Notamacropus eugenii: one gene and its partners. The protein of the gene in region 2 interacts with the protein of the main gene of each other region in a pairwise test. Links are inferred from orthologs where the notes say so. Each region holds a gene or a part of one and is shown on either strand. Other genes may lie near its edges.

What was found.
Region 1: the proteins of BAG4 (region 2) and UNKL interact in binary tests that used the Homo sapiens proteins (3 or more experiments, as listed by UniProt). The link is inferred for Notamacropus eugenii from reciprocal best matches to the Homo sapiens genes BAG4 and UNKL.
Region 3: the proteins of BAG4 (region 2) and UDP-N-acetylglucosamine transferase subunit ALG13-like interact in binary tests that used the Homo sapiens proteins (3 or more experiments, as listed by UniProt). The link is inferred for Notamacropus eugenii from reciprocal best matches to the Homo sapiens genes BAG4 and ALG13.

Annotation. Positions count from the first base shown.
Region 1 is NC_092872.1:49,431,329-49,441,148, reverse strand, and holds the start of UNKL (putative E3 ubiquitin-protein ligase UNKL), read right to left. Parts: upstream 4,107-9,820; 5' UTR 4,078-4,106; coding exon 3,995-4,077; intron 2,870-3,994; coding exon 2,660-2,869; intron 1-2,659. UniProt on the Homo sapiens protein: May participate in a protein complex showing an E3 ligase activity regulated by RAC1. Ubiquitination is directed towards itself and possibly other substrates, such as SMARCD2/BAF60b. Intrinsic E3 ligase activity has not been proven.
Region 2 is NC_092872.1:622,807,157-622,817,479, forward strand, and holds the start of BAG4 (BAG family molecular chaperone regulator 4), read right to left. Parts: upstream 4,226-10,323; 5' UTR 4,168-4,225; coding exon 3,862-4,167; intron 1-3,861. Other genes in the region: U6 snRNA-associated Sm-like protein LSm1, read left to right, coding at 4,556-4,787, 9,343-9,411. UniProt on the Homo sapiens protein: Inhibits the chaperone activity of HSP70/HSC70 by promoting substrate release. Prevents constitutive TNFRSF1A signaling. Negative regulator of PRKN translocation to damaged mitochondria.
Region 3 is NC_092879.1:97,562,499-97,572,273, reverse strand, and holds the start of UDP-N-acetylglucosamine transferase subunit ALG13-like, read left to right. Parts: upstream 1-5,613; 5' UTR 5,614-5,636; coding exon 5,637-5,777; intron 5,778-6,095; coding exon 6,096-6,179; intron 6,180-8,007; coding exon 8,008-8,058; intron 8,059-8,750; coding exon 8,751-8,797; intron 8,798-9,775. UniProt on the Homo sapiens protein: Catalytic subunit of the UDP-N-acetylglucosamine transferase complex that operates in the biosynthetic pathway of dolichol-linked oligosaccharides, the glycan precursors employed in protein asparagine (N)-glycosylation.

The DNA of each region.
Region 1 (9,820 bases), about 570 Mb from region 2:
ACCTTGACTAAAAAAAGAAACCCACTATAATATTTCAAAAAAATCTTAAAATAAAGCTATTCAGATAACTTAGAACCAGAAGACACAATAGAAAGTAAAAGCATCTACTAATTACCTTCTAAAAGAAAACAGAAAATAAAAGCCCCCAGGAAAATTATAGTTAAAATCCAGAGGTTCCAAGTCAAAGAAAAAAATACTGCAAACAGCAAGAAAGAATTCAAGTACAAAAGAGCCACAGTCAGGATCACATGAAAACTCCACAGTGACCACTATAAAAGAGTAGAGAACTTGAAATATGATATTCCAGAGGAGAAAAGATATACAGGCTTACAACCAAGAATAACTTATCCAGCAAAACTGAGCATAATTCTAATGGAAAAAAAATAGACCTTCAAAGAGAGGACTTTTAAGTATTCCTAAAAGATCAGGGTTACATAGTAATTTTGAAGTGTAAACAGAGGAATCAAGAGAAACAACAACAAAAAATAAACATAATGGTAGGTGACTACCAATAAGGGACTAAATAAGAATAAACTTTGTATCCTAATATAAGGAAAAGATATTCATGTCCCCTGAAAATCCTATCATCATCAGAGGTCACAGAGAGCACCTGATTAGAGAGCCTAGGAATGGTTCTGTTCTATTCCGATGATCTTAAAAGCATGGGAAGGCTAAGGAAGAGGAATACATTGGTGGAGAGGATAGAAGAGACAGGAATAATATGGGAAATTACCTCACATAATTGAGGTGTGCAAACAGAAGTTCACACAAACAAGGTGAAGGGGAGCAGGAGACACAAACCTCAGTCTCATCTGAATTGGTCAAAGAAAGAAAACTGAGTAAAGAAAAAAATTTCACTCAAGAGGAAAAATAGGAAGGAAAAGGGAGAAGGAAAAGAGAAAATAAAAGGGAAAATAAGAGAAAAGATAAAGGGACAGAATTTAATCATAAGAAAAACAAAATAGAAGAGTGGATTTCAAAGAGGGGCTTAAAAGAATGGGGGAAAAAAGACAAGAACCTGTTATTAGACTACAAGTAAAAGAAAGAGGAGCAGAGAAACAGAAGCATATTACACCAAAACTAGAGCACGGATGTAGAGCTTACTCCTTGTCGCTCATCACTCTCTTCTTCTTCATAAAAAGAGAACAGGAACCAAAGAGAAGGAAAAGTATAAGAGAATAGAATGAAGTGAAAAACAAAATTAAAAATCATAACACTGAATGGGATGAATTTACCCATGAAAGAGAAAAAGAAAACGGATTAGAAAGCAAAATCCAACAACATGTTATTTACAAGAAACAAACTTGAAACAGAAAAATTCAGAGTTAAAATAAAGGGCTGAAGCAAAATAGATTATGCTTCACCTACCATTAAAAAAAAAGGAGGGATATTTTAACTATGATCTCTGACAAAGCAACAGTTTAAAAAATAAAAAGACGTAATTAAAAAAAATAAAAGGGAAACTACATTTTGCTGAAACATTCCATAGACAATGAATATCAGTACTAAACATAAGCACCAAATGGAACAGTATTAAATAGTTAAGGGAAAAGTTAAATGAGTTACAGGGAGAAATAGACAGGAAAACTATCATTGCAGAATACCTCCTTACCCCTCTCAGATGTAGATAAATTTAACCAAAAAATAAACAAAAAGGAACTGAAGGACCAGAATAGAATTTTAGAAAAATTAGATTATGACAGACCTCCAGATATTACTGAAAGGAAATAGAAAGGATTTCTCAGCTGTGCATGCCTCTTTTACAAAAGTTAACTACATATTCAGGCATAAAATCTCAAGAACAAATTCAGAAAAGCTGAAATATCAAATGCATCTTTTACAAATGATATTATTATTTTCAATAAAGGGTCACAGAAGAAATGATTAAAATTTTTTTTAAAATAGTAACACATAGGGTTTATCCTTACTACACTAACAACAGTAGCTCACGATTTTTTTTGGGTTATCAGTCCCCTTCCTTGCAGAAGCAAGGGAGTATAGTATATTTCCCCTTCACAGGTTGCACGTTTCAGAAAGCATACCAAGAGTACTTATTGTCAAAACAATACAGAAGAACTATGACTTGGTTAAATACAAGTTATTTTTTTTCATAAGATCATTTGTTTTCAATTCATTCTCTGAAAGTCAATGGCATTAATGGTCACTTCCACTCCAATTCAGTTATTTTTTGCAGTAAACTTTTTGTGGGTGAGCAGTTTTCAGTTTTGTTTTCTATTTTTAAAATTCATGTCAACTAGTACTTTACTACTCACAAAAGGATCACTTCATAACACTTTTGAAAAGATAGTTTTAATTTCATTACTACTGACAGGGAGAGGAAACAATTCTTTTAAATTGCAACATACGCCAACCTATTATCAACTGCATAAGCAATATGAGTAATAACAGAGTGACAAAGAAGGGAATTCTCGGTGTACTTTTAAAACCTTAAAAATGCAGAATCTTTTGTACACTAGGTAAATACTTTCTGGTATGTCATTCATTTTAGTTAAAATAAAATCTTTAAAGCTTCTTTCTTCACCTTCCAAGGTGATGACTAAGAACTGTCTTCGTCCAGGTAAGATGCAAACTATTATTAAAATCACTTTGATAATCACCATAACTTACTAAAAGTACAAAAAGAAAGTTATACACTTACTCATCACCATCCGGACAAATTCCTGTAGTCTCATCATATTTTGTACAATATACATCAGGACTATAATTAAAAGTTCCATCACGCCTTCGGATGGGTCTACGGCGACGCTGATTTAGGAAATGCCAATGAAAACAGGTAAATGGTCTGTGTTGTGTACACTTGTGCTGCAAAAACAGGGGGCACTGTTCTGTCCTAAATTCCTTTAGATACCTAAAAAGATAAATGGTATTACAAGTCGTTTCAGCTGGAGGGAAGTACTATACATTTGATGCAGTGTTTGCTCGGTAAGTTCTCTTTGTCAGTGTAAAAACTGTGTGTGTAACAATGTAACTTTATTAGGGCCAAACAACTTAATGTTAATTGGTTAATGGGTTGTTTTTTTTTAATGACCACCGCCAAACTTAGAAAGGGAATCTCTATGTAAAACAGACCTATGAGCCATCTATCTTCAATTACACAGCAATGGATGGAGGGGAAAAGGGACTCCCCAGCATAGGTCTGCATTCAATGAAGAGGGTTGGGGGGAAGCACACCCCCTCCCATCTATCCACACCCGAGTCTTTCAGAATGTACTTAATTCAGCCACCAAGTCAGCTCCTAAACTATCCCGAAGGCAGATTTAGCGAAATTTTGCGTAACACCAAGGTTGTTTCAGCACTTTTTAAATGAAGAAGGAAAGAGGGGGTGTGTGAGGGGTGTGGGTGAAGGCAAAGGTTGGCACTTTAGCCCTGGCATCTGGGGCTCCCGGAGGAAGGGGACAGGGAAATAGGATGGCACCCACGAAAAGGAAAGCGGGCAGGCAGGGTGGGAGGGAAGACCTCGGAGCCCCAGGGCGCGGGAAGGAGACGAGCTGGACCGCACGGGCCCAGGTGGGCAGGGGAAAGGCCGGGAGGCCGCGTAAGGGCCACTAAGCAGGAAGTTCAGCGTATCCGGCGGGGAGTGGGCGGCCCGGCTCGGCCCGGAGGCTCAGGCGTCCAGCGGGCTGAGAGGCCTGGGGGAGGGGCGGGCTGGGAGGCGGCTCCGCGGGCGGGGGGAGGGGCGGGCGGGGAGGACGGAGGCGGCGGCGGGTGCTCGGAGGCCGCGGGAGCGCTCCAGCCGCCCCGCCCCGCGCCGCGCCGCCGCCTCGGGCTCAGAGTCGTGCAGCCCCGCGCCCGCGAGGCCGAGACGCGAGGAGGACCGGGAGCTGGGGAGAGGAGGGTGGGGGAACGCGGGCGCGCGGGCCGAAGCGCTCAGCGGCGGGGGCGCGCGAGGCCGCTTCCCGCCTGCCGTGGTGGAGGCGGCTGCGGCTACGACGGCGACAACCCCGGGCGGTAGGGGGCGGCACGGGACACTGACCTGTAATGAGTCGGTTTCTCCGTCTGGGGGGGGGATCCGCTCAGCGCCGCCGCCGCCGCCGCCGCTTTCGAAACCGACGGCATTTTCAGTCAAAACAATGCAGCGCGCATGCGCTGGTCGGACCCGCCCCCGCCCCCTCCGGATCTCCCCCCACCTCCCCTACCCCCACAGCCTTCGCCAAGCCCACCGGGCCCCCCACCCCCTCCCGCCCACCCACGCGCCCGCCTGCCCGCTCGGAGACTGGACCCCGCCCCCGTCCTGGAAGGCTCGCCGGCCCCCTCCCGCGCAGGAGGCCACGCCCCCTCTTGGAACGGCCACACCCAGCGGCCACACCCACTACCTTGAGGCCCCCCACGTCGCCCAGCCCAACTGCCCGCAGAGACCACGCCCCCGCCGTGAATGACACCGCCCAAAGGCCCGGGGCCGGGAGGCTGAGATCGGAGGCCACGCCCCCCTGGGCGGCCCAAATCTGGACCTGCGCCCGGGGGCCGAAACCCCCACCTGAGTGAGCATCTCTGCCGGTGCCAGGCTGCCCGCCCCGCGCTGGTGTCCGGCCGCCGTACGCGAGGGACCCCCAGCTCCCGGCTGTCAACCCCGCCCCCACCAGAGCGCGTGAGAACGCCAGCAAGCGAAGCAGACGGACCCATCAGTGAGAAAGAAGCCTAAGGCTCGGCTTAGTAACTCACAGACACGCAGTAACCACAGCCCTATCACACACAATTGGTGCTCTGCCTTCCCCCGAAAACTCGTTGACCCATCCTCTCAAGTCAGTGGGTGAACATTTATTAAATACTTACTGAAGATGACGAGAAAGCAAAAGCACGGAGAAGAAGCACCAACTGTGTATAAGCGTTGTCTTTCACATGAAAACTGTCCCATCCCACTCACAAGCCTACAAGTACCCCTTTCCCATCAGAGTGCTTTATAGTAGGGAAGGGAATTGACAAATATATAGAGACTTTAGCCCACTACTGGGCTAAGCCTTTTTAAAAATATGATCCCATTTGATCCTCAACAACCCTTGGAGTTATTGCTACTATTTTAGTTAAGGAAACTGAGGTTAAGTGATTTACCCAAAGTCAAACAGCTAGCTAGATGTATCCATTGCAACATTCGCTGTCATTTAGATACCTTGTAGCCTCTCCTAACACTTTGTACCTCTTTGATTCAACATTGAAAAGGCATTTATTAATTGTCACATGCAAGACACTAAACCTGGTGGTAGGGTCACAAAAACAGATAAAAAAAGAGTCCCTGCCCTCAGCAAGTATGCATACTCTTGTAACGGATGCAAGAGATAAGCAGATAAGAAACTGACATTTAAAAAAAAGAATTCTAAAACTAGCTGGAACAAGAAAGGCCTTCTAGAAGGTATTGCTGGAGCGGAGGCTTGAAAGAAGATGAGAATTCTAAGTCAATTCAAGAAGGAAGTGTTTTCCAGGCAAGGAAGAAGGGGTATGACTTGGGAGAACAGCAAAAGGGCCAATTTAGCTGAAGCAGAGAGCATCTGAAATGGAGTAACACGACACAAGTCTGGGAAGGTAGGCTGAAGCCATCCTGGGAAAAGTTTTAGATGCCAAGCTGAGTTTGTATTTTACCATAAAAGACAACAAGAAGTCACTGAAAATTCTGGGGCAGGGAAAGCACATTGGTGAAATCTATATATTACAGAAATAATTTTGGCAGCTACCTAGAGTAAGGGTTGGAGAAGAGAGAGACTGTTAAGACTGAGAGACATTTAAGAGACTGTTCTACTCATCAAAGTGACAAGGGCCCAAATGAGTGTAATGGCCATGAATTTGAAGAGGACAGATAGGACACATCTTATAGAGGTAGAAGTAGCAATATATATCAACTGATTAGCTACAAAACCAAGAGAAGAATCAAGCATACTTCAGAGATGTCAACCTGGGATGGTAAGAATGGAAGCACCCCCAAGAGTGGTGTGAGGGAGGAGATATTAGAGGAATGTAGGAAATGGGTTCAGTTTTAAACATGGTAATTTTAAGATCAAGAAAAGACATCCAGATGGAGATGCTCAGCAAGAAATAGGTCATGTGGGACTAGAGTTGAGAAAAGATTTAGGCTGGATATATAGTGGAAATCATTTGAATAAATCTAAGAATTGATCCCAAGGGTGCTGATGAGATCACCAAGATAAAGAATAGAGAAAGGGAAGAGGTCTAAGTCTATGACTTCTGGCACAGCCATGGTTAGGAGGCAGGAGGCACATACTGATCCAGCATCCACCAGAAAGGCAGCATGGACTAGTGGATAAATGCACTGGAGTCAGAAGACCTGAATTCAAATCCTCTTCAGCCTATATTTCTACAATCAAGTAAAAGAGACTAGGAAGGGAGCAATCAGAGAAGTAAAACCAGGGAAGAGCAGTGTTGTGAAAGAAGAGAGAGAAGAGCCTATCAGGAAGAGGAACTAGCCAACAATGTCAGAAACAGGAAGTCAAGAGGGATGACAACTGAGAAAAAACCAATAGACTTAGCAATTAAAAAATCATTAGTGCAAGGGCTGGTGGTACAACCTGTAATCCCAGCTACCACAGAAGCCAAGACTGGTGGATCTCTTGAGCTCAGGAGTGGATTAAATCCATCAGTTGTCTACATTAAGTTTGGCATTAATACGGTAAGTCTACTTGGAGCCAGGAGCCATGTGGTTGTTTAAGGACAGATGAACCCATCAGAGCTGAAAACAGCAGTCCCTGCATTTTCAGCCTGGTTCAGGGAGACTGAAATAAAGTACTAGAGTTTGGGGATAAAGAAAAGGAGTTTTGAGTCCATTAGAAAGAACTCACAGTGGATAGCCTTTACTCAGTAAAGTAGGAAGAAAAGTCTTCTCAGCTCTGGAGGGTCGGTTGGAGGCAGAGGTGTCATGAGTCTTGAAGAGAAAAGCCATAGGGGGAATGCTAGACACAGTTCCATTTCTCACAGTGATCCTCCAATCAATCCCTCTCGGTACAGGGTGCACCCAGCCAATCCTCATTTTAGTTACCTTGAGATCAGGAGCTGAAGCTGAAAGAGATCCTATTTAGCCAATGCTCAACCAGTTTTGGAAGTTGCAGAGTAGTTCTTATCCTCTACTTGAGAAACTTCAAGGGCTCCCTATTGCTTACAAAAGACATATCTCAAACTGCTTATCTCAGCATTCAAGGCTCTCAATAGGCTAGCCTCAATCTACCCTTTCAGTTTTACCTCCCATTCTTTGACTACATAGGATTGTCTCCCAGTGGTATTGATAGTCACACTTTCTAATTTCATGAGCTAGTATGGAGTAAAGGAAAAAGTCCTCGTTCCGGAATCAGAGGAATTGAATTAAAATCCGACCTCAAATGCTTACTACCTGTGTGACCTTGGGTGAATTATTTAAATTCTCTGGGCTTTAGTTTCCTCCAGTATAAAACTAGGAGGGAGGGGAATGACTTCTGAGGGCCCTTCCTGTTCTGAATCTATGGTAGTAGAAGAAATGATAGCCTTTGAGTCAAAAAGATACGGGTCCCAACTCTGCCTCTGACACGTCAGACCAGAGGGAGTTACTTAATTACTTTTGTTAACTCTCATTTTCCTCATCTGTAAAATGGTAATAAGGATGTTTGTATTATGTACTTTACAAGGCTTTTTAAATGCCAGTGCACCAACCCCTCCAAAACAGTGCCCCACCCATGGCCTCTCTAACATTCATCCAAAGCCTGTCCCTATTCACACACACAGTCAATGATATTCCCTTCATACATGCCTGCAGTTCCCGTCCTACTCACTCACACATCAGATACAGGGTCCAGACATTTCATGCACATAAACAAAGTACTCATGAGCCCCTCACACACTGACCACAAGCTATTCTCGCTCACAGACACACAGAACTCCTGATTCCTTCACATAATACCTGGCCATACAGACATAGAACTCCTGTCCCATCACAAACACAATGCCCCACTCCCGATCCCCATAGACAGGTATGGGGGTTTCTAAGAACCATCCAGGTAGGAGTTCTTTTGTGAGATGAAACTTTGCAAGAAGTTGGGGAGCAGTCAGGGCTAGTTTTGCAGGCAAGTGTGCTCGCACATAGTGAGTTTCTTGCTTTGCACTTGTATGTCTAGCACATAATATAGTACCTGGTACATGCAGTAGGTGCTTAATAATTACATGTTGATTGATTGGTCTCACTAGAGTGAGATTGTAATAAACTCAGTTGCCAGCGGACTTGTTTTGATGTGACCAGCAGAAGGATGTTCAAAAACCTACGTTTCCAAACTATTTTCTTCCAATGTTTCCCGAGGAAATTTCTGTGAATTCCCAACCTTCCTTCCCCTAGTCCTGTTTCCTTCCTGTGCTCTGGGAAGCTATCATGGTCAGTAGAAGGATAAGAACTGATCAAAGTGGTTTCTTTATAGTATTGCTGTTTGGAAACAGCCTTCAAAAATAGTCTAAGTCCTATGAATGAAATGGGAGGTTTCCCTAATGAGTGTTCAAGTACCATAGTAGCTGAGACTTTCCTATTTTAGTCATTGTTCAGCACATTCCTGGTCATACACTAGAGCCAGGTGCTCTGCCCACAAGTGGGAAATAGCTAGGAATGGTGAGTGGGTTGGGGGAGTAGTTGAAGAGTTTACAAGCTATCAACTTCTATTGAACAGCGGGATCCTGCAACCTTTGGAAAAGCTTATGCATGGTCAACTGGCCTGTCATAGCCATTTGATCCAAAGATAGCAATAGCTGGTGTCCAAGGCACAAAATTACATTCCCTAGCTGACCAGTTATTTCATTAAAAGTCTGCTTCTTCATAGGGGGAATGATCCAGGTGTCAATATCAGAGGTAGGATATTTAAACCCAGTTCTCCAGTTGTGCTGTAATTATACTTTCTCAAATAAAACAATCTGTAGCCTGTTCATAAACAAGTGGTCCATCCTCTCATATCACCATAATGACCCATCATCTCCAAAACCTGAATACCCACCTTCTCCTCTCTCACACAGTGCCACAGTCCTTTTCACATAAAGTGCTCCATTTTTAACTACACACAGAAACCTTACCTTCTCTCACAAATATAAAAAGGTGTGTTCATGGAATTCATGGTCCTATAATGCCTAGAGATGAAAATTTCACTTTAGAAAATATTCTTGCATTCCATTTACTAAAAGGCTGAGAGTCCACATCATGACAGCATTCCCCAACAAGCATCCTGACTGGAGGATAGATAGTTCGAGGAAGTTTTTAAAGGTATCCATCTCATGGAAGTGGCAAAAGTAAAGTGCCAGTACAGACTCACAGCAGAGAGATAGATAAGAAATGGCAGCTAAATATTTGAAAATATGCCTAAAAAGACACTAAACTGTACATACTCTTTGATCCAGCAATACTACTATCAGACATCATCTCAAAGACAAAAAGAATTCATATGCCTGTGGAATCCTAGTTACATGGGCTCCTTACCTGAATAGTGCTGCTATGGAGACCAGGAACTCAAGCAGATATTGTCCCAGGTCTCACTACTTGGTGACATTTGTTGGAATCTGGATTTCTGGGATTTTGATTTAGAGGCGTCTAGGAGTGAGAGGCCAGAAACTGGAATGAGCAGCCATTACTGTTACCCACCATTCAAGAGGCAGCAAGAATCATCTCTGCCTTTTCTTCTATCAGACAAGCTTTGGTCAGTTAATGGAAATCAAAATCTCCGTGCCCATCTCCTCCCCAGCCCACCATGGTGCATGGCATGAGGAGATTGTACACTGAGCAGATCAAACTTTGCATTTCCCCTCACTCACCTCTTAAAGAGGTATTAGTTCAAAATTATAATAGTCATTAAATTGGTGT
Region 2 (10,323 bases):
AGACTGAATATTATTCTGGAATGCTGGCCCCAAAACTGTATTTTAATATGTTGTGACCCTAGTCTGAGATTCCTATAAATGTTACCTCAAATTGTCTTGGAGGGAGAAAGTCCAACATCATGAAAGGATTATGTCAGTTTGGACCCTTGTCTCTCTGTACTAGATGAGATTTTGAATGTTAAATTAATAAAAACTGACTGTTGCAGATCTGTGCCTAAAACAGAGTACACTATTAATATCTTTTCTTCCACAACTATTCCAATCAAGTGTACCACCATCCTAATCACCCAGGTTCCCAACCATGTTGTTATGCTTAACTTTTCATTCACCCTCACTAGACATATGAAATCAATTGCTAGGTTTAATCAATAGTCTAGGCACTATCTGCCCCTTTCTCTCTATGAGGCCATCACACTAGTTCAAGCCTTGTCACCTCTCTCACCTGCACTACTGTAAGAGCTTCCTAACTAATATCCTGCCATCTTCCAGGTAGTTGCTAGAATGATATTCCTAAAGCCCAGGTCTCCCCCCCTTACCCAAATGCTCAAGAAGTTTAACTGGCGCTAATAAAATGTTGGTTCCCCTGACTGCCTTTCCAGAGTTACAACATATTACTCACCTTTGAACCTTCTTGAGTCCAGCTAAACTAGCTTTTCCTTATTGTTCCTCACAAGTGACACATTTCTTTCTGCTTCTTTGCCTTGGAACAAGCAACCTCCCACACCTGGAACGCACTCTCTACTTCTTTTTCCCTCTTAGAAGCCCAGTTCAAAAACCATAGCCTGCATCCTCCATCTTCTTTCCTGCTCTCCCACTGCTAGTACCTCCTCTCCTATCCCTCTGCAGCTACACTGAATTTACTTCATATATATTTTCTACACACACACACACGTGTATGTGCCCCTAGTTTCTCCTAGAACACAATAAGCACAGTGAGGACAAGAACAGTTTCATTTTTGTCTTTATATCCTCAGTATCTCATAGGTGATTATCTGGTATATAATTGGCATTTATTAAGTGCTTTTTCAATACTCTAAATCACTATTGATTAGAGAGATACAAATCAAAGCAACTCTGAGGTACCAAATCACACCACTCAGATTGGCTAACATGACAAAACAGGAAAATGACAAATTCTGGAGAAAATGTGAGAGAGTTGGAACACTAATTCATTGTTGGTGGAGCTGTGAGCTGATCCAACCACTCTAGAGAGGAATTTGGAATTATGCCCAAAGAGCTGTGAAATGTGCATACCCTTTGTTTGATCCAGCAATACCACTACTAGGTCTGTATCCCAAAGAGAACATAAAAATGGGGAAAAGACCCATATTTACAAAAATATTTATAGCAGTTCTTTTTGTGGTGCCCAAAAACTGGAAATGGAGGAAATGCCCATCAATTGGGGAATGGCTGAACAAGTTGTGGTATATGAATGTAATAGAATATTATTGTGCTTTAAGAAATGATGAACAGGCAGACTTCAGAAAAACCTGGAAAGACTAATATGAACTGATGCTGAGTGAAATGAGCAGAACCAGGATAATATTATACACAGTAACAGCCACAGAGTGCAAGGACTGTTTTTGTTTTTGATAGACTTAGCCCTTCACAGCAATTCAAGGACCTAAAACATTTCCAACGCACTCATGATGCAAAATGCCATCCAAAATGCAAAATGTCCAGAGAAAGAATAATGGAGTAGGAATGTCGAATGAAGCAGACTTTGTTACGTTTTGTTCTGTTTTGTTTCTCCCATGGTTTCTCCCATTCGTTTTAACTCTTCTATGCAACATGACTAGTGTGAAAATGTGTTTAATAGGAATCTATGTGTAGAACCCATACAAAATTGCATGCTGTCTTGGAGAGGGAGAGGAGAAAATCTGGAACTTATGGAAGTGATTGTTGAAAACTGAAGACAAATAAATTCATAAATTTGGGAAAAAATAAATGCTTTTTCATTTATCTATTGATTTTTACCTCTAATGTTCAGTCAACAATATTATATTTTAAATATTTTTACATTGCTGCCAGTTTCAGTCAGTAAGTTTAAAAACAAAACCAATCTATGTGGAAAGAAATCCATAATAGAATGTTCACTCCCATTGGGAGCAATGGTCAATTAAATATCTCTTCTTCTAGTCCTCAAACCTGTTTGATTATCAACAACAAATACCTATATAGAAGTTTTGTGCCAATTGTTAATCTTTTGGACAGGTCAGTTTCTTGGGTTGTATTCATGCATATTTTCAATGATGAAAACTGTGTTCAAGAAGTGGCATAAGGGATATTACTGAAGAAATGTATACTGAGAAAAGGAAGTGGACCGGTCATGTGGCTAGATGAAAGAATTACAGCTTTACCTACCATTCAGCTACTATACAAAAAATGTAATGGAAACCTTGAAGGTTTCCAGCAAGTTGGATGGATCCTCTAGCAGGAATTAAATGGAAAAGAACTGCACTGGATAAGAAAGCATGGATATGTGATGCCACTTGTACCAATACGGGGAGTCCCAAATCAATGAAATTATAGCCATGTTGAAATAAAAAGTTATCTATTAAAGAAACAAAAGAGTTGACTTGGTGAAAGATGGTAGAATTCTCCACCCTCCCTTAAGTGACACTGATTGTAGCCCAGCTCTAAGGAGTACAGACATAAAATCCAAAGCCTAGATAGAGGTTCCACCTGCTGGTCACATCAAGTCTGAAGAATTCATGGGTGACTCAATCAGTCAAAATGCTGTGTAATAAGGATGGTTCCTCCAGGCCTACTATTATTCGAATATGTCCCCTTATCTCCCACTTTTTCACAACCTAAGCAATCATTTAACAAGAATTTAATAGGCCACCTCCTACATGCAAAGCACTAGCCATCAAACTGAACTAGTTCCCAAGAACATAATTTTCCAATTCCTAAATCCTACCTTGAAAGAGTAAGTCAAGACCAAGTTCTCTGACCATCCTCTAACCCCAATGAATACACACACACAACCTCGATGGATGAGATCAGGGATGTAAGAGATCAATCTTCTAAACAATCAAAGCTTTTTCCACCCCGCCCTCCCCCCTCCCCCCCACGTTAGACTATTCCTAGACGCAGCGAACAAATATGTAGGACCTTTATCTACCTAAGAGACAGAAGGGCTTAAATGAAACGTCCAACGCGGAGGTGGTGAAGCAGACTGACAGGCAGACGAATGGAAGAGACTAGAGATGCTGCAGTGATGACCCTCAGAAGAGACACGCACTTGCAGATCACGACACGCTCTGAGCTTAGGAGCAGGTGGGGAGTAAAAATGAAAAAAAGCTGATAGCCTCCGGAACGACCCGGCTCGCAGCACCTAAGGTCCCAACGTGCAGGAGGGGCCGCCGAGTGAAGGCATCACAGTCGTCACCGTCTTCGGGGGAGCGGTGAGGGGAGAGGGTGGAAAGGGCCTGTGCCTGGGGGGGGGAGCAACCTAGGGTCCATTCCAGACCCCCTTCCCAATGGCTTTGGAGGCCTCCCCTGGGCGAGCTCAGTTAACCTGGGCATTTGTGCAGAGCGGAAGGCTGCAATAAACGATTTACGATTTCTTTTTCAGCTTGCTTTACCCCCAATCGCTGCTCGGTGAGACACCATCACCCAGGCCACAAACCTTGTCCCTCCTCCCATGCTCCAGAAATAGGAGACTAACGAAGCTGGGATCCGTTAGAAGCCCTCCAACAGGGTCTCACCCCGGCGTCCCGGGCCTCTGCAACGCGACCCCCGGGGCCTCATCTCCCTAGGGACCAACCACCCCCGGCGACCCCCTCCACATCAACCCCCTCCCCCCGCGCACGGACGACTCCAGTGACCCCAGGGGCTGGCCGGATCGGGGATTACCTGGTGGCCTCCGGCCCGGCACGGGTCTGGCCAGGCGGCTCCCCCGGGGTAGTAGCCCCCGCCACCTCCGCAGGCTCCGCAGGCTCCGCTGCCTTCCCCGGGCCACACAGCCTCCGCCGGGCCGCCTCCGCGCATCCTCCAGGGGCCAGGAGGCGGAGGGGGAGGCGGCTCGGGCCGCGATGAGGCTGGAGGCCCAGGCGGGGGCACGTCTCCAATGCTGGGTCCGGGTCCGGGCCCAGCCCCGTAGTAGCGGCTGTAGCCCGGGCCGTCGCTGGGGCCATATCCTGATCTCCTCAGGGTAGACATTGGCTCCGCTAAGCCGCCGCACTTCCCGCTCCCCCCACCCCAAGCCCACTGCGCAGGCGCCCGCTGAAGGCAAAGAACAAGCCTGGGAAAAGGGGGCGGAGCCAAAGCAACCAATCGCCGCCCTGGCTCCTCCTCCGCGGGAGTAGCGTTCATGGTCCACACGCTGACCAATGAGGCTGAAGGGGGGGGGGGGGGTCTATGCTAGTTCGGGCCAACCTTAGGAATTGAAGTTAGAGAACTGAGAAGGGCAAGGCGCACGTTCTTCCTCAGCCTAAAGAGGAAAAACGAGTTCCCCACTATCTAATGCGGTCCCGCTCACATCTCTCCCCCTTCTCCTTTCTCGGGGGCCTGCGCCGTACGACCCGCCCCCGAGCATGGGAGCCACGTGATGCCGGAAGTGGGCGGGGTAGGGGGAACTTCCGGTAGCTCCTCAGTGACTGCTGGCGGCTGTGGACCTGCGGGTACCGGCCCCGCTGAGGAGGCTGAAGCGGAGGGAGAAGTAGGACGCGGCGGGTCCGCTCCGCTCCTCCTCTCCCCACCGTGCCCCAGCCCAGCCTCCCCCTCCCGGTTCAAGATGAACTATATGCCCGGTACCGCCAGCCTCATCGAGGACATTGACAGTGAGTGGCCGCCGGGCCAGTCCCCCTTCCCTCGTCGGTCCGCCTCCTCCCTCGGGCTCGGGTAGGGCATGGGCCGAGGCCGGGACGCGTCTCCAGGCCGTAGCCCCGGCCCTCGGGCTGCGGTCCGCGAGCGGCCGAGGCCTCCCTCTGACCGCAGATCGCCTGGGGGGGAGTTAGGCGTTCCGGAGTCACGCGGGGTTTCTTTTTTGCCCTTTTGTCTGAAGAAGGCAATGGAGGTCATTCAGAGACTCCGACACCGCTTTTCGACCTGAGTACTCCCCACAAATTCATTAAGTGCCTGCGATTTGCGAGGCTTTTGTCCCCAGAAGCTTGGCCCAGGTGGGGAAGTCTTTAGGCCATGGCAACTCTGGAAGACCCTTTACTAAACCCCTGGAGGATGGGATTACGATCTGTCCGGGGGAAAGGTTGGCCTCGCTGATAAAAAGAAATAGCGAGGTGCGTGCCCGGCAGCGGGGAGGCGAGTGGTCCCAGAGCTCAAGAAATTGGGTGCAACAGTGAGGGGACGCAGTAAGTGCCTGAAACAGGGCGTCCGATAGTGTTCAAGGAAAGTGAGGCCCACCGTTCTCGAAGCTGTGGCAGAGACTTGTTATCTTCCTGCCCGACCCCTCCACCCCAATTCAGCAGACATTTAAGTGCCACTGTTCAAGGGTCCGAGGACACGAAGACCAAAATAAAAAAAACACACACACCCCTTTTGGAGTTCATATTCTACCAAGGAGATGTGTATACACCTAAGTATAAAGTATACGTGCCAGATTTTATCTTAGCCCAAATAGACCCTAGAGACAGCAAAGCAATTTCAAGAGGGAGAAGGAGGAGGAAAGGTCTGGAATAGGAGGTGGTACTTGAACTATGTGATCTCTTATATAAAGGCACAGTGGCAGGAGGGAGTATGTTGTGTAAGAGAAACAGCTTTAGGACCAGTTTGAATGGAATAGAGTCCGTGAAAAAAAAATAGTGTATCGGGAAATGTCTTAAAAACCAGATCATGGGGGTCCTTAAATGTCAAGTTGAGGAGTCTGTATTTTATGCTAAAGGCCATTAGGGAGGCATTCAAATGTTTTGTTGAGGGGTGGAGTGTAATATGTTCAGAGCTATGCTTCTGGCATATCAATTTGGCAGCTATATTGGAGGATAATTGGAAAAAGAACAAATTGGGCCAATTAGGCTATCCAGATAGTCTGTCTGCACAAAGTAGTGGCTGTGTAAAATGAGAGAAATAGAGGTAGAATCCCTTCACACTATTATTTTATACATACATATTTTCTCTTTCACTGACAAATTCCTGGAAAAAACCGTCTGTGCTATTTGCCTCCTTTTTTCCTCACTTTTTAACCCCTTTGCAGTTTAGCTTCCTACCTCATTACTCCTTCGATTCTGTCCTCTACAAAGATACCAGTGATCTCTTAATTGCCAAATCTAGTCCTGATCCTTTTTGACATACCATTCCCTCCTTTTGGTTTTCATGACACTGCTCTCTATTTGTTCTCCTACCTGCCTGTCAACTTTGTCTGTTTTGCTGTATCACCATCCATATCCTGCCCTCTGATAGAATATATCCTGGACCCTCTAGATAGACTTTTAGTATTCTCATCAGCTTTTCAGTGGATTCAGTTCTCTATGCAGATGTCTCACAGATCTATATATACATCCCTAGTTTTTCTTTTGAGCTCCGATCCTGCATCACCAGCTGTCTCTTAGACATTTCCAACTGGATATCCCTTAGGCATCTCAAATTCAATATGTCCAAAATTGAACTCATTATCTTGTCTTCCCATTTCTATCAAGGACACCACTATCCTTCCCATGACCTAAATTTTCAACCACTGAATCATCCTCAACTCCTAACTTTCCCTCATTTTCAAGTCTTTATCAATTCTACTTCTGTCTCATCTCTCACAATTACCACCCTGATTCAGGCTCACATCACCTTTCATCTAGACTATAGCCATCTAATTAGTCTTTTATCTCTGATCTCTCCATCCTCCACATAGCTGCCAGACTGATATTCCTAAAATACAGATCTTACTCTGTTAGTCCACTGCTCAAGAAGTTTCAGTGGCTCAGTATTGCTTCTGACTGCCTTTTCAGTTCTTCACAATTTGGCTCCATCTTTTCTTTCCAGACTTAATAAATGTTACCTCCATCATGTGCAGCGTGTTCTAGCCAGACTGACCTACTGACCTTTTCTCATATGCTACAGTCCATTTCCTGCCTCTTTGCTTGTTCCCTGTGCCTAGAATGCACTCCCTCAAAATCCCTAGCCTCCACAGCTCTGTTCAAGTGCATCCACGAAGCTTTTCTTGATTGCCTGCAGCTTCTAGTGCTGCCCACTGCCCCCCTTTTGTGTGTATATATGTATACATATATACACCTACACACACATTCTGTGTATGTGTGTACATCGTTCTGTTTTGGACATATTTGCTTTGAGATAGAAGGAACATGGTCAAGGGCAGAACTCTGAAGGATGTCCACATTTGGTCGACAAAGGGAAAGCCAGCAAAGAAGACCAAGAGCACAGAGACCAGAAGAAAACTAGCGGAGGAGAGAGTGTCCAGGACCACCTTGTGGTCCATGGTGACAGAGGTCAAGTAGTAAACTTGAGGAAAAACCATTGGATTGAGCAAATAGGCACTTTAGATTGTAAGCTACCCCCAAATGGAGTTAGTACACTAGGCCCAGAGAAGAGAGTCCAGTGAAATTAGGTTTGATAATAGGAAGAAAATTTGAAAACTGCATTAAAAACATACAACAGAGGGTAGGAATAAGGAAACCATCTTCCATTGCATTTGAGGCTAGTTGCTTGAAAAAATTCTGGTAGGGTTTAATAATAGCTAATCCTTAATGAGTTTTTCAAAAGAAGTGCAGGAAACCTTTAAAAAAAGTTAAGATAGCTTGGTGTGCTAGAAAAGACGCTGGATTTGGAAGCAGTACTTGGTTATGTATGTGACCTTAGGCAAATCACCTGAAAGAACTGAAAGTCAGCTCTCCCTTATCTATCACATAGGGTTAATAAAACTTGAACTCATTTGACTGAACAACCTTAGAATGAGATCAAATGAGAGCATGGATATAATTCATATATAAAAATAAAATGTTAAATGTCATAATTTTCTGAAACTGATAAATGGTTTCAGGTACAATGGAGGATAGTTTTTTTTTTTCCACATGCCTACATTGTTGCTTTTTAAAGGCTTTATAGACCCTGAATCACTTCTAATGCCTGCTTCACAATTAAGCCTTCCTTTTCTGTTGTTTTAAAATGGTTTCATCATTAACTATTGAGTTCTCTTTTTTGTCCTTGTTTTTGCTTAATACAGTGTTTTTCTAAGTCAGGCTAATTATAGTGTCATTTCTCCTTATGCTTTACTTTCACTTTCACTTTCACTTTTTAATCAGAGTTGTTCTCATTACCTGTCTGTAATTAGACTTAATTCTAAACAGGCGTAGCTGCTGTCAGAGTTTATGTATTTCAGATGGTATGTCATTAACCAACCTTAAAGTTCACTATTTTATGTTGCCCAAGGGCCATTTTAAAAAAAAAAATACACATTTTGGAATGATAATGTAAATGTGTAGAAAGCACATTTAGAAATCATGTAGTGAAACCACCTCATTTTACAGATGAGGAAACTGAAACCCCATCATTGTGAAATTCAACCTTTAGCCATGATGTTAAGATACCAATTTCACCCTTTTTTGTTGTTGTTCATTCGTATCCAAATCTTCATGACCTCATGGACCATACATAGTACATACAGTACTGTCCATAGGATTTTCTGGCAAAGATACTGGAGTGATTTGCCATTTCTTTCTCCAGTGTTTTAAGGCAAATAGACTCACCCAGGGTCACATAGCTGTTAAGTGTCAGAGGAGGGCTTTGAACTCAGGTCTTCCTGACTCCAGGCCCAGTGTTCTATCCATTGAGCCACCTACCTGCCTCTTTTCCCCTTTTACTGTCACATATTTACAAAGACCAGAGATTATATAATGGGAAGTGAAGGTAATGTAAGAAAAAACCATTAAGAAAAATTTTAATGATCAATGATTAGCTGAAACCTTTCTCCTTCCTCATAGCTCTTGAAGGACATATTTTTATAGAAAGAGGTTCTGAATTGTTACAATAAGCATTTTGAGTGAGGAATAGAAAAGCATTTTAGAATTGAAAGGACTTTTGAGTTACTCAGTTCAGCACCCTTCTTTTATAAATAAAAAAGCTTGAGGCACAGAGAAGTTAATTGATTTTCGTAAGGACACTGTAAGTTTGTAGGAGAGCCAAAACTAGATCCTAAATCCCCTGACTGCCAATATGGCATTTTTCCTACTAAATTATTTTGCTTTGATACTATTGATAGTTTATAATGCTTACATCCTGACTGGATTTCTTAGTTGAACTTAACCTTGAAAAAGTGAGGAAGTGGCCCATTTTAGAGCTTGCTTAGGGTGTCCGAAGAACTTTCCCCAACTTATGTGCTATTGTACCACTACTGTGGAACTATTGGTCATCATTTTTAAAAATCCTCTTTTTCAGAGAAACACTTGGTGCTCCTTCGAGATGGTAGGACCCTTATAGGCTATTTGCGAAGCATTGATCAATTTGGTATGTATTAGTCAGGATCTTGAACTTAAATTTCCCATAGTTTTTCTCCTTGATTGTGTTTTTCAACCCTTTCCACTATTTCCTTTTTATGAGTTACTTTTTATTTTATAAATATTTATAAATATTCTTATATTCTTTGCTCTCCCCTAACTGAAACATTGTTTTAAGTCAGCAGTTTGTGCATTGTTCTTCTTTAAATGTGCCTAGGTTTTAAAAAAAACTGTATGTATCTGTCTCTATATATGGAGACACACAAGCTGGATTATCAAAATTCATTTTCACCAAGTTCTGGGTTTTTCTTTCCCCATTAGGTGGAGCTAAATACCAGTGGAAAGCTCTACACCAAAGTTAAGGCTATTCATTAGCATGTAGATAACTGTTATAATAACTACCCAAGCAGCAGCTGCACTGGAAGAAGTTACTCACTGATGTAGGTCTTTGTTTCACAACAGCAAGGGTTGAGGGCTATTTGAAGAATTTTTGTTCAGGGACCCCACATTTGTACTTAGGATACCGTGTATGTGTACGTATCATTTATTAAATTTCTACTACAGAACTGCAACAATAAGCACTCAATAGAGTTCATAGAGTTTGATGTCTGGAATGTTATTACAAAGTATTCTGTTTAGGAAACTTTTTTTTTTCAGACAATAAGAATTTATCAAGCTCTGTATAGATTACTATGTTTGTGTTAGGAAGGTAAAATTTAGATAAATTCCTGGCCTCCGTGGAGTTCCCAGCCAGAAAGGGGATGAGATGCACAGATGGCTATGACACACAATCACTTAAGTGCATCAGAAGGTTTAAAAAAACAAGCTGCTAGAGAAGACCTGAAGAGGAAGATTATTATCTACCAGGGAAGTAAAGAAAGTATTTTGGAAGAGGCCGCCTTTGATTAGGGCTGTCAGAGGT
Region 3 (9,775 bases), on a different chromosome or scaffold from region 2:
TGGGTGACCAACTTCAGGTGGAGTGACTGACCCAGACTGCAGACAAGTTCTTGACATTTGAAACTCATCACATCCTAGGCCTAGAACTGGAACATTTCAGTCATTTGGGCACTTATTTATTTTTTAATTAATCAATTACTTTTTATAAACATTGATTAGATCTCCCTCTGATCCCCCTACTCCATTCCTCATTGAACAATAAAAAGAAGAAAAGGAAAATGCATAGCAAATAGGCATAAGGCAGCAAAACAAATTTCCCATTGGCCATGTTCAAAAATGCAGTCCCATTCTGTGTTTTTCCAGCCCATCCCCTCTCTGGTGGGAGGTGGGCAACATCTTCAGTCCTCTGGACTTGTGATTCATCACTGCATTGAGCAAAGTACCAACAAAGCTTTTTGAAATTGTTCTTCTATATTATCCCACACCTTTCATTTTAGAGAAGAGGAACATGGGGTCCAGATAAGGTTGGGTAACCTGCTCAAGGTCACCTACCTTGTGCCAGATGTGGAATTTGAACACAGGTCATCTGACTTTCCACCTGCCCAGTGTCACACAGCTAGTGTTAAAAGCAGGTAACTTGACCCCAAGTCCTCCTGACTCTTCTTGACAAAAGTAAAAGATGAGAAACCAAGGTGAATCCTAAATGGGCCCAATGCTTCCCCTGTCTCCTCTGCTCCACCACCTGAATCTCATAGATGGGAGACCTGCCAGATCATTTACCCCAACTACAGACTCAAAGTTCTGCTCAACTGTTTTCTCCTGCAGGGCTTTTGTAAGACATCAAAGCAATTGTACCAGATACTGCGGAGCAAGGAGACCATCCATGTAGAACTTTCTCTTCTGGCTCCAGTTTTAGGGAGTAGGCCCTAGAGGCTGTCACTTGGAAACCAGCAAAGAGAAGCACAACCCCACCAAAGTTCATGTTGGCTTCTTCTCTTTTCCCCATTTACCCACTAGGCCTGCAATTGGGAATGCTCTTTCCCTAAGGCGTTAAATGAAAGACCTCCAGGGCTTTTTGGGATAGTTCTCATGTCTCTTAACTGAAAGTTAATGACTAAGCATGTGATGGACTTTGCTGTTGTGTTAAAGAGTATTTTTACTGTCTGTTTCTTAAGAGAAAAAGCATGTTATACTGGAAAGAGTGCGGAATTTGAAGTCCAGTGTCACCTCAGACAACTCACCAGTTGTGTGACCTTTGGCAAGTTCTTCTGAACCTTAGTTTCTTCACCTGTAAAATAGAAGTCATAATAGCACTTCTGGCACAGGATCAAATGAGATGAGCAGACCCTGAAGGGCTATTGGAATGAGAACTGTTGTCATCCATTATTTCTTGATTTGTAGTAGCGGTAAATGAAAATGCAGAAATTGTTTGTGGGCTCCTCCTTTGCTGAAATCATTATGAAGTCCGTGAATTTTGTGGTTGATTGTCGTGGTTTGTCCAGGGTTACAATGACATACTTTGTCAGCAAAGACAAATATTTTAACTGTATCGTTGCTGATACTTATTCCCTTGACTTTTTTCATGCCTGATGACTATTCCTAAGATTTCTAAAATGATGTTAAAAAGGAGTGGGGACAATAGATTACCCTGCTTCACCCCTGCTGTTAACGGAGATACTTCTTGTGGTTTTCTCTAGTATGTAACATCCTTCCTTGAAGTTGTTCACAGTGGCAGACTGGTATGGGAGCTCTCTCTGGAATGGAGCCTGCCCCAATGTCTTTAAGACTGACCACATTCTGTAGCTGCCCATTTGTAAACAGGTCAGTGGCACTGCTTTGTAGGGAGAAATATCCTGCTTCCTTCCTAGGTAGTTGCCTTCCTCTTCTTTGTCATTTTTCCCAGTGTGGGACATGTGGAGGTCAGGGCAAAGAAGGGGAGCCTGGGTCTTCCTTTGGAGACTTTTCCAGAACCCACCTGATTCTTCCCTCCCCTACCCCAAGCATTAAGAAGTTGATAGAAAGGTCCAGACAGAAAGATATGCAACCTTAGAATCAGGAACTATGGACAGGGAATTGAGACAAGCCCCAACCAAGATTCATGTCTAGATTTTTCAGAGGGAGAGGTAATTGATGGCCAGCCTGTGAGTCCCAATGAGTGCCTGAGGAAATTCCACCTCCTCCTCCCCCCCTCCCCCCACCTGTACCGAACTTAGGTGAGGACTTGGATGAGAGTTGTGCCAGATGGGCTGGCTGTGACTTACATCACTGGAGGGAATAACTACATTGTTGAGAACACAACTCCTTTGGAGTTGTGGAGAAAGACCTTCATGTTAGAGATTCAATTTGAGGGTCCAGATATCCTGGAGCATTGCTGCTTCAGAGGTTGGTAGAGGGGCAGGAACAGAGAAAGGCCCCTTGCAAAGTGGCACCATCTTGGTAGCCTGCCCCCGATAGAGTACATGACTGGCTTTCATGGGAGGAACTTGCTGTCAGATGCAGTTGGGTTGGGAGAGGGATGTCATGGTGGCAAAACTCTGGAGGATCTGTCTTGTACAAAGGAAATAGGCCTCTCAGACATCAGCACCCTAGGACATGCTCATATTGCCCACCTTTGTTACAGCTCTGGTAATTAACACTAACGTCTCAGGTCTTAGTTCAAAATGACTTCCTAATGTTCTCAATGTCACAAGGAAAAATGTAGCAGGTATACCTGCTTCATTTTTTTTGCCTTCATATCCACAGACCCTGGCACAGGAGTAGGAGGAGACACTTCATAAAAGCCACGAGGGTTGGCTTGAATTATGGCCTCTAATGGCAGTGACTCAGTTAGCTTAGTTGCTAACTAGGTCTGAATTTAAGCTTGCTTTCTCCGTGGAACATTTATTTTTACTATGCCAGTGACCACTAGGACACCCCAGAGTTTATGTAGCCATTTTCATAGATCTTGTGCTTGCCAGGGACACTAGTAAGCAAGCAAACATTTATTAAGTGCCTACTGTGTGCCTTATAAGTAGAAAGTGAGACAAACCTGTGGGCCCTCTTCATGGTAGGTTAGTATTTAGGTCTGTCCAGAACTGTAACCAGGACAGGGCAACTGGGACTTTTGCCAAGGGTAGCAAATTTAGCAGGTGCTGACAGCACTTCTAGTCATTTGGTAGCCCAGGAATGACATAGTTTAGTGCCTAGTTAGCAAGAATAACGTGCTAAAATCCTACCTAAGATTGGGGTGAACTTCTCCATGAAAGGATATTTTTTCATTGATCAAAATACTGTATTTTGAAGGCTCAGTTGGCAGGGACTTCAGCAGCCAACTAGTCAGGCCGTTCCTAAAAGGGATCCCTGTTTTAACATGTCTCACCAGATTTATTTTCGTTCTTTCACAATAAATTAAATGTGAAATAAGGAGGAAAAAATGTTTGGGGCCTTAAAATCTTCAGTTTATATCTCCTGGTTCAGTATGAACAGTACAGTACAGTACAAATCATCCTTCTAAAACCAGAGCTAGCGTGCTGTTGCCCCCTGTCTTCCCCCCCCCCATTGCAGCAGCATCAACCCCAGTCCAGGGCAAAGAGCGTCCAAGTGTCATTGGTGGGGTGGCTGTCAGACACCAGGTCCAAGGAGATGTCTGCTGCTGCTTCTTCCTCTGACTTCTCTTCAGGATGGGGCCTATAGGAGGTGAAGGAAGAGAGCAGTGAGAGTTGTGCTCAGTAACAATAGCTGCCCTTTGCCTAATGAGATCAAGGCTGGAGTCCTCAGCCTTTTCTCAGGTTTCTGGCCACAGGAAGCTAGCCAACCTGGATGACTCAGTATCCCCAAAGCAGCCTTCTGAAATGTTCTTCTACCGTTCTTCCAGTCTAGGGTGTAGAATGAGGGCATGTTTGTGGTTTGTGTTAACTGTCTGTGGGACACTGTGACCAACTGGTTCAGTTCCATGCCTCAGTTTCCTTTTCTGTAAGAAAAGGACTAAATCAAGGGTTTTTCACGTTTTTGCATTATGGGTGTAGTAAACCTTATGGACCCCCTTCTCAGAAGAATGTTTTTGACATAATTGAGGGAAATACCAAGTTTCAATTAGCGGACAGTGAAAATGAAAATGTCATTTCCCACCATCTCAGTTCCTGGACCCTTGATTAAGAACCCTTGAACTAAATCATCCTTTGGGGAGTGAAAAGAACACTGGCTTCGGGGTCACACAACCTGCCTCTATTGCTTGCTTCTTTTGTGTGCCTCAACTTCCTCATCCTGTCAAATTGTTGGAAGAAAGTGAGTAGGTGTGGTTCTTAGCCTGGAATCAGGATGTCTGAGTTTGAATTCTGCCCCATATACTTACCAGCTGTGTGACCCTGGGCAAGTCACTTCACTTATGTTTGCCTCAGTTTCCCCATCTGTAAACTGGAGATAATGACAGCACCCATGTCACACAGTCATTTTGAAGATTAAACGAGCTCACATTTGTAAGTGCTTTGCACCTTCAAATGTTGTAAAAATGCTGGCAGTTGTTATTATCTCAAAGAACTGTGCATTTCAAGGTAGAAAGGACCTACCTTCAGGGTCTTTCACTCCAGCCCCTTCATCCTGCAGATGAGGAAACTGAGGCCCAGAGAGATTAAGAGAGTTGTAGATTACTCAGTTAATTACTCAGCACCTGGGATGTGAACTGAGGTCCTGTGTCTAAATGAAATGGTGTTTCTCTCTCTCTCTCTCGCTCTCTCTCTGTCTCTCTCTCTCTCTCGCGCTCTCTCTCTCTCTCTCTCCCTCTCTCCCTCTCTCCCTCTCTCCCTCGCTCTCTCTCGCTCTCTCTCGCTCTCTCTCGCTCTCGCTCTGAAAAATGAAGGGTTCCCAGCAGATGCCAGATGCCAAGTATGGATCCCTGTCACAGATCAACGTGGTGAACCAAAAGCCAGTGTCTCTCACCTAGGGACTTCTTGCCTTGTCTGGGAGAGACAGAGACAGCGAGAGAAAAGAGTAGTAGAGGCACCTGCAGGCGTTTCACCTGTCCCAGTCTCCGTTCCTTTATCTGTCAAATGAGGCCAATAATAGCCCCCCTTTTCCCACGGAGGGTTTCCCACCCCGAGGGTGTAAATGTCAGCTTGTTATTCATCCTGGGGTCGCGGCGTCGGGGAGGGGAGGCGAGGCGGGGCTTTCTGCCCAGCCTGGACCCGGGGTGAACGGGGGGATGGTGGGTCACCCCGAGCCGCACCCCATCGCCGGCCTTCCCAGCGCACGTGGGCCGCCCCCGCGGCACGTGGGGCTCGGTCGTAGCCTCTGCGGGCGCAGCCTCCGCGGGGCCCTTCAGGTGAAAGTGCCCCGCAATTGGGGGCAGCCGCCTCCCCCTGCGGCCCACGAGGGGCGGGCCGAGCGGCTCTCCGGGGGATCCCCAGGCGGGGAGGGCAGCTCCTGAGTGCCCCTGGCTCCAGGCCCTGGAGGGCGAGGGGAAGGCCCCCGGCTGGCACCCCGCTCCTCGCCCCCCCCTGCCGGTGCCCCCTGGCGCCGCGGCGGCCCCGCGGCCCCGCCCGCGCCCGGCCCCGCCCCCGGCCGGCGCGCCGCGGCTCCTCCCTCCTCCCAGTTCTCAAGTCTCCCAGTCCGGTGGGGCCCCTGCTCGAGGTGCGCGCTTGGGTGCCTCTCCCCCGAGGCCCCCGCCCCCGCCCCCCCACCCCCCGCCGCCTCCCCGCCTCCCCCCGCCGCCCCCCGCCGCCATGCAGAAGGGCTGGAAGAAGCCCCCGGCCCCCAAGCCGCAGCCCGAGGTGAGGATGGACGACTACCTGAGCAGCCTGGGGCTCCACCGCAAGCTCATGCCCAAGGATGCCTCCTGCCTGTTCCGGGCCATCTCGGAGCAGGTACGCCGAGGCCTGGGCCCCCGTGGGGAGGTACAGTGAGCGCCCATCGTGAGGTGGGGGGTGGCACGGTGAGCCCCAATCGTGGGGTGGGGGGCGCAGTGGGCCCCCGTCGTGGGGTGGGGGGGGGGTCTAGTGAGCTTCCCTGCGGCTGCCCACCCCGGGGCCCCATGGTGGGGGGGGTGGCACGGTGAGCCCCCCGAGGCAGCCTGCCCCGACCCCCCCACTCCTCCCCGCGTCCGCATGGTTAGCCATGGGGTGCTGACCACGGGGCGTCAGCCACGGGGAGCCCGACTTCGAAGGTGATCTCCTCTCCTTCAGCTGTTTTGTAGCCAGGTCCACCATTTGGAAGTCAGGAGGGCTTGCGTGGCCTTCATGAGAGAAAACCAACATAGCTTTGAATCTGTAAGTGGGACAGACTGGAGGGGAGGTGTGGGGGACACTGCCCTGGGGTGGGGTCTGCCGAAAGTCCTGCTGCTTTCCTTCAAGCCGCCCCTCCACGTGGCTCGACTTTCCAAGGCTTTATGCGGATCTCGGGGCTAGCCCTAGTTCTCCGCGGTTAAAAATCATGGTTCCCCAGCCAAATCCACCCTCTGCCTTCAGCTCAAATTAGGAAGCCAAAGCAAAGATCCCCACAGTTAGCCATCTAGACTGATGGTGAGGTTGTGGCTTGAGGTGAGAAAGGCCGTGAAAGACAGGAATGGGAAGTACCTTGTTAGCTGGCCGGTGGTGGGGCAGCGCTCAGGACCCACTTTCTTGAGCCAACTGAGGTTTTCATGGCTCTTAGGAACATCTGTATGAAGATAACTCAATGCTTACTTGTAAGGATGCACAATTAGTTTCAAACATCTGGCCTTGTACATAATAAACCAGTGGAACTGGCCCCACTCCCCTAACGTATTGACTAGGAAAAAACCCCAAGCAAGCCAAGTCCTAAGTCAGCCCACTTCTGATCTATATCCTGATAGAAGGGCGTTTGGTGATGGCTCTATTTCAATGGCTTTACCCGTCTATTTCACACCCCACATGGCTTCTATAGATTAGCAGAAAAATCCTTTGCAAAGGGGCCCTGCCAATGTTTGTTGGCTGTTGAAAATTCTGAGCACATTCAGCAGGGCTTGTATCCATCATGCCTCCTTCAGGCAGAGGTAAAAGGTGAAGCAGACAGCCCTTCTGTGCATGGGATACAATACAACACTGTGCAGATTTTACAGTTGTGAGGAACCTCCAAAAAGAGATGCAAGGAGGGGCCAAATCTTAGCCCAAGCCCTTACTTATCTTTTAATGACACAGCCAAAAAGATCTTCAACAGCCCCAAAACAGAGACCTGCCTAGGTTTGGTCATTAAGGATCCATACCTCTTCCCTGGTTCCTTAAAACAGGGAGGTGGCCAGACTCTTGAAACTTTCTCAGTCAGATTGGTTTGAATGTAAAGCCAACTGGGACATTTTACAGAGTTCCATCTTGCCCAAACCAAACAACACTGCTGAAGCTAATGAAAACCCAAACCATTAGTGTAACTACCCAGACCTTCTGGTTAGAAAGGGCAGTTCATACATTTTCAAGGTTCAGCCGGGGTCCACCACTCATTAGCTGTGTTGTGTGACTTTGGGCAAGTCACTCTGTAGGCCTCAGTTTCTTCACCTGTAAAACAAGAAGTGGGGGAATGAGAGGAGCTCCCAGGTCTCTTCTAGCTCTCTCAAACCTGGTCCTATGGCACAAGTCAGACTAAAAGTCTTCCTTGTACGGTCTGATTTTGTTGGAAACTTCACACCCTAAAGTTGTCCCTTAACCTCATTAATGAGGCCAAGCATCCTGTAGGTTTTCCAGCTCTAGTGGAGGTTCCTTGAAATGTGCTGATTGGCCATCATTTGAGAAATTGGCATTTTGGAGGCTACCAATAAAAAAGGCAGGCCTTTGGAGAATTGTGAAGTGGCTTCCATCTAAGCAACTGAGGCAGCTAGCCCTTAAGCTTCTTAGGACTTGTTGCTGCTGACTTCCCTCCCCCTCTCCCCCACCTCCTTAACTTTTTTCTTAGTACTCCAGGAGGTGCTGTGCCAAGTGTAATCACCTTATTAGCTTCAGGATTGTGGGGCTGAGCAAAGTGAATACATGCTAGGAGTTTAAATGCAGAAAGCATTAACTCTTGCTTAGGGTTTGCATGGTGTGATACTCAGTCCTAGTAATGAGTGCCATGGAGCTGCTTACAGTCAAGTTTGTTTTATTTTCCAAGTACGTGGAAGGATCTTTTGAAAAGTACCTGGAGAGGTTGGGAGATCCCAAGGTAAGCCCAAATGTAGTTCTCTCAGCTTTGCTATTCAGGGGCCCTTGAAGGGTTGGAGAGTGGGCAAGGAGGGTAAGGCAGCATTTGGGAGGATGTTGCCAGAGCCCACGCATTGCAGCTCTGGCCCTTTAAGGAAATATGTAGAGGCTTTTAAAAAAAAAAAAACAAACAGCTGTTGGAATCAAATGTATTTCTTGGAAAAATTTTAAGAAGTTGACAGCTGACCTAATTCAATTGTCCAGTTTTGAGAATTTATTAATATAAAAGTCACTAAATCCCTTAGTGTATGGAATTCAGAATAGCTTTTTTAAAAAAACATCTATTTTGAATATATCCAACTTGAACTGATAATTGAAAAGAGGGGTTTCGGCCCTTTGTCATAACTTCCTCATAACTGGAAAATGTTAATGGCCAGAGGACTTACCCCTTCCCCTTTCTGGGTCTCTGGAAAACGGAAGATTGGATTACTAAATGGGTAACTTCTAAGGCTTCTCTCTCCTCTAAAATCTTGGATCCTAGGACCCAGCTCCAGACTTGGAGCCCTAAACTGGGCTTTATAGTACATTCTCAATGAGCAAAATGGGGATGGAGGGCTACATCAAGGAACTCACAGTAGTTGACTGGGGGGCTTTTAGCTCCAAAGTGCTCAGAAAGAAAACCAAACAAAGGCTGTATATACTGTTTCTCCCTAGGAAAGTGCTGGCCAGCTGGAGTTAAGAGCCCTTTCTCTCATTTACAAGTAAGTTTCTGCATCCTCTCCTTTCTGATTTCTAGAACATGGGACCCAGGGCACTCCAGTTACCTTGAAGTGACCTCTGGAGTCTCCTCATGGATTATAGTTGTCATTTAAAGGTGGTGGGATAGACTTGGCTTCTCATGTTAACCCTTTAGGACAGGGAAATGCATCTTTTTCGGGGAGCCAGAAGGTTCTAGGGCTATCTTAGTGCCTGACCCTCTAACACTTGTATCCTTGTGATGGTTTTTTTTTTAACCACAGAATGTACATTTTCCAGTCTATTGGGTCATGGGTCTTTTTTGGCCTGGGACAAGAGGGGTGTAGGATGTCTCTTGTTGAAGGGCATGCCAGTCTCACGATTTATAGTTCTTATGCATTGGTCAAGACAGGTCCAGTTACAGCCCCCTCCTCTGGCCTGGTGCCCAGACTCATGCTTTGGGCTCCTCCCTTCTTCTCCCAAGCTCCTGGCATCGCCTGGGAGGGGGGAGTGAGATCCTGGCTTGGCTGCTTCACCCATATAAGCCAGCACATATTTGGACAGCATTCACTGGGGACCTTGCACTGTGCTAGGCCTCTACCCTTCTAGACCTCACCCACCTTGTTTGGGGTGGGGGTGGGGAGAGAGAGAGAGACCCATCCTCCTTAGCTGTGTGACCTTGGGTAAGTCACTCTGCCTCTGTGGGCCTCAGTTTCTTTATTAAAATAGGGAGGAGGGCTGGAAAATATCTATGGTCTCTTTTAGCTCTAAATCCTGTGATAAAAGAATCTGGCTTATTTAGAAGATAATATTTTTCTCCAAAAGGCTCCAAGACTCCTTTGTGGAGCACACTCCCCCCCACCCCGTTCCCAGGACTTTTTTTAATTACTGCTTTTTCCCTTTGGAGGTGGTCTTTGCCAATCATCACATTCATTTTAGCCAGACTGTAACTATATGAAGGTGTGTTGGGCCAGAGATAGTCACACAGTGTGATTGACCTGAGT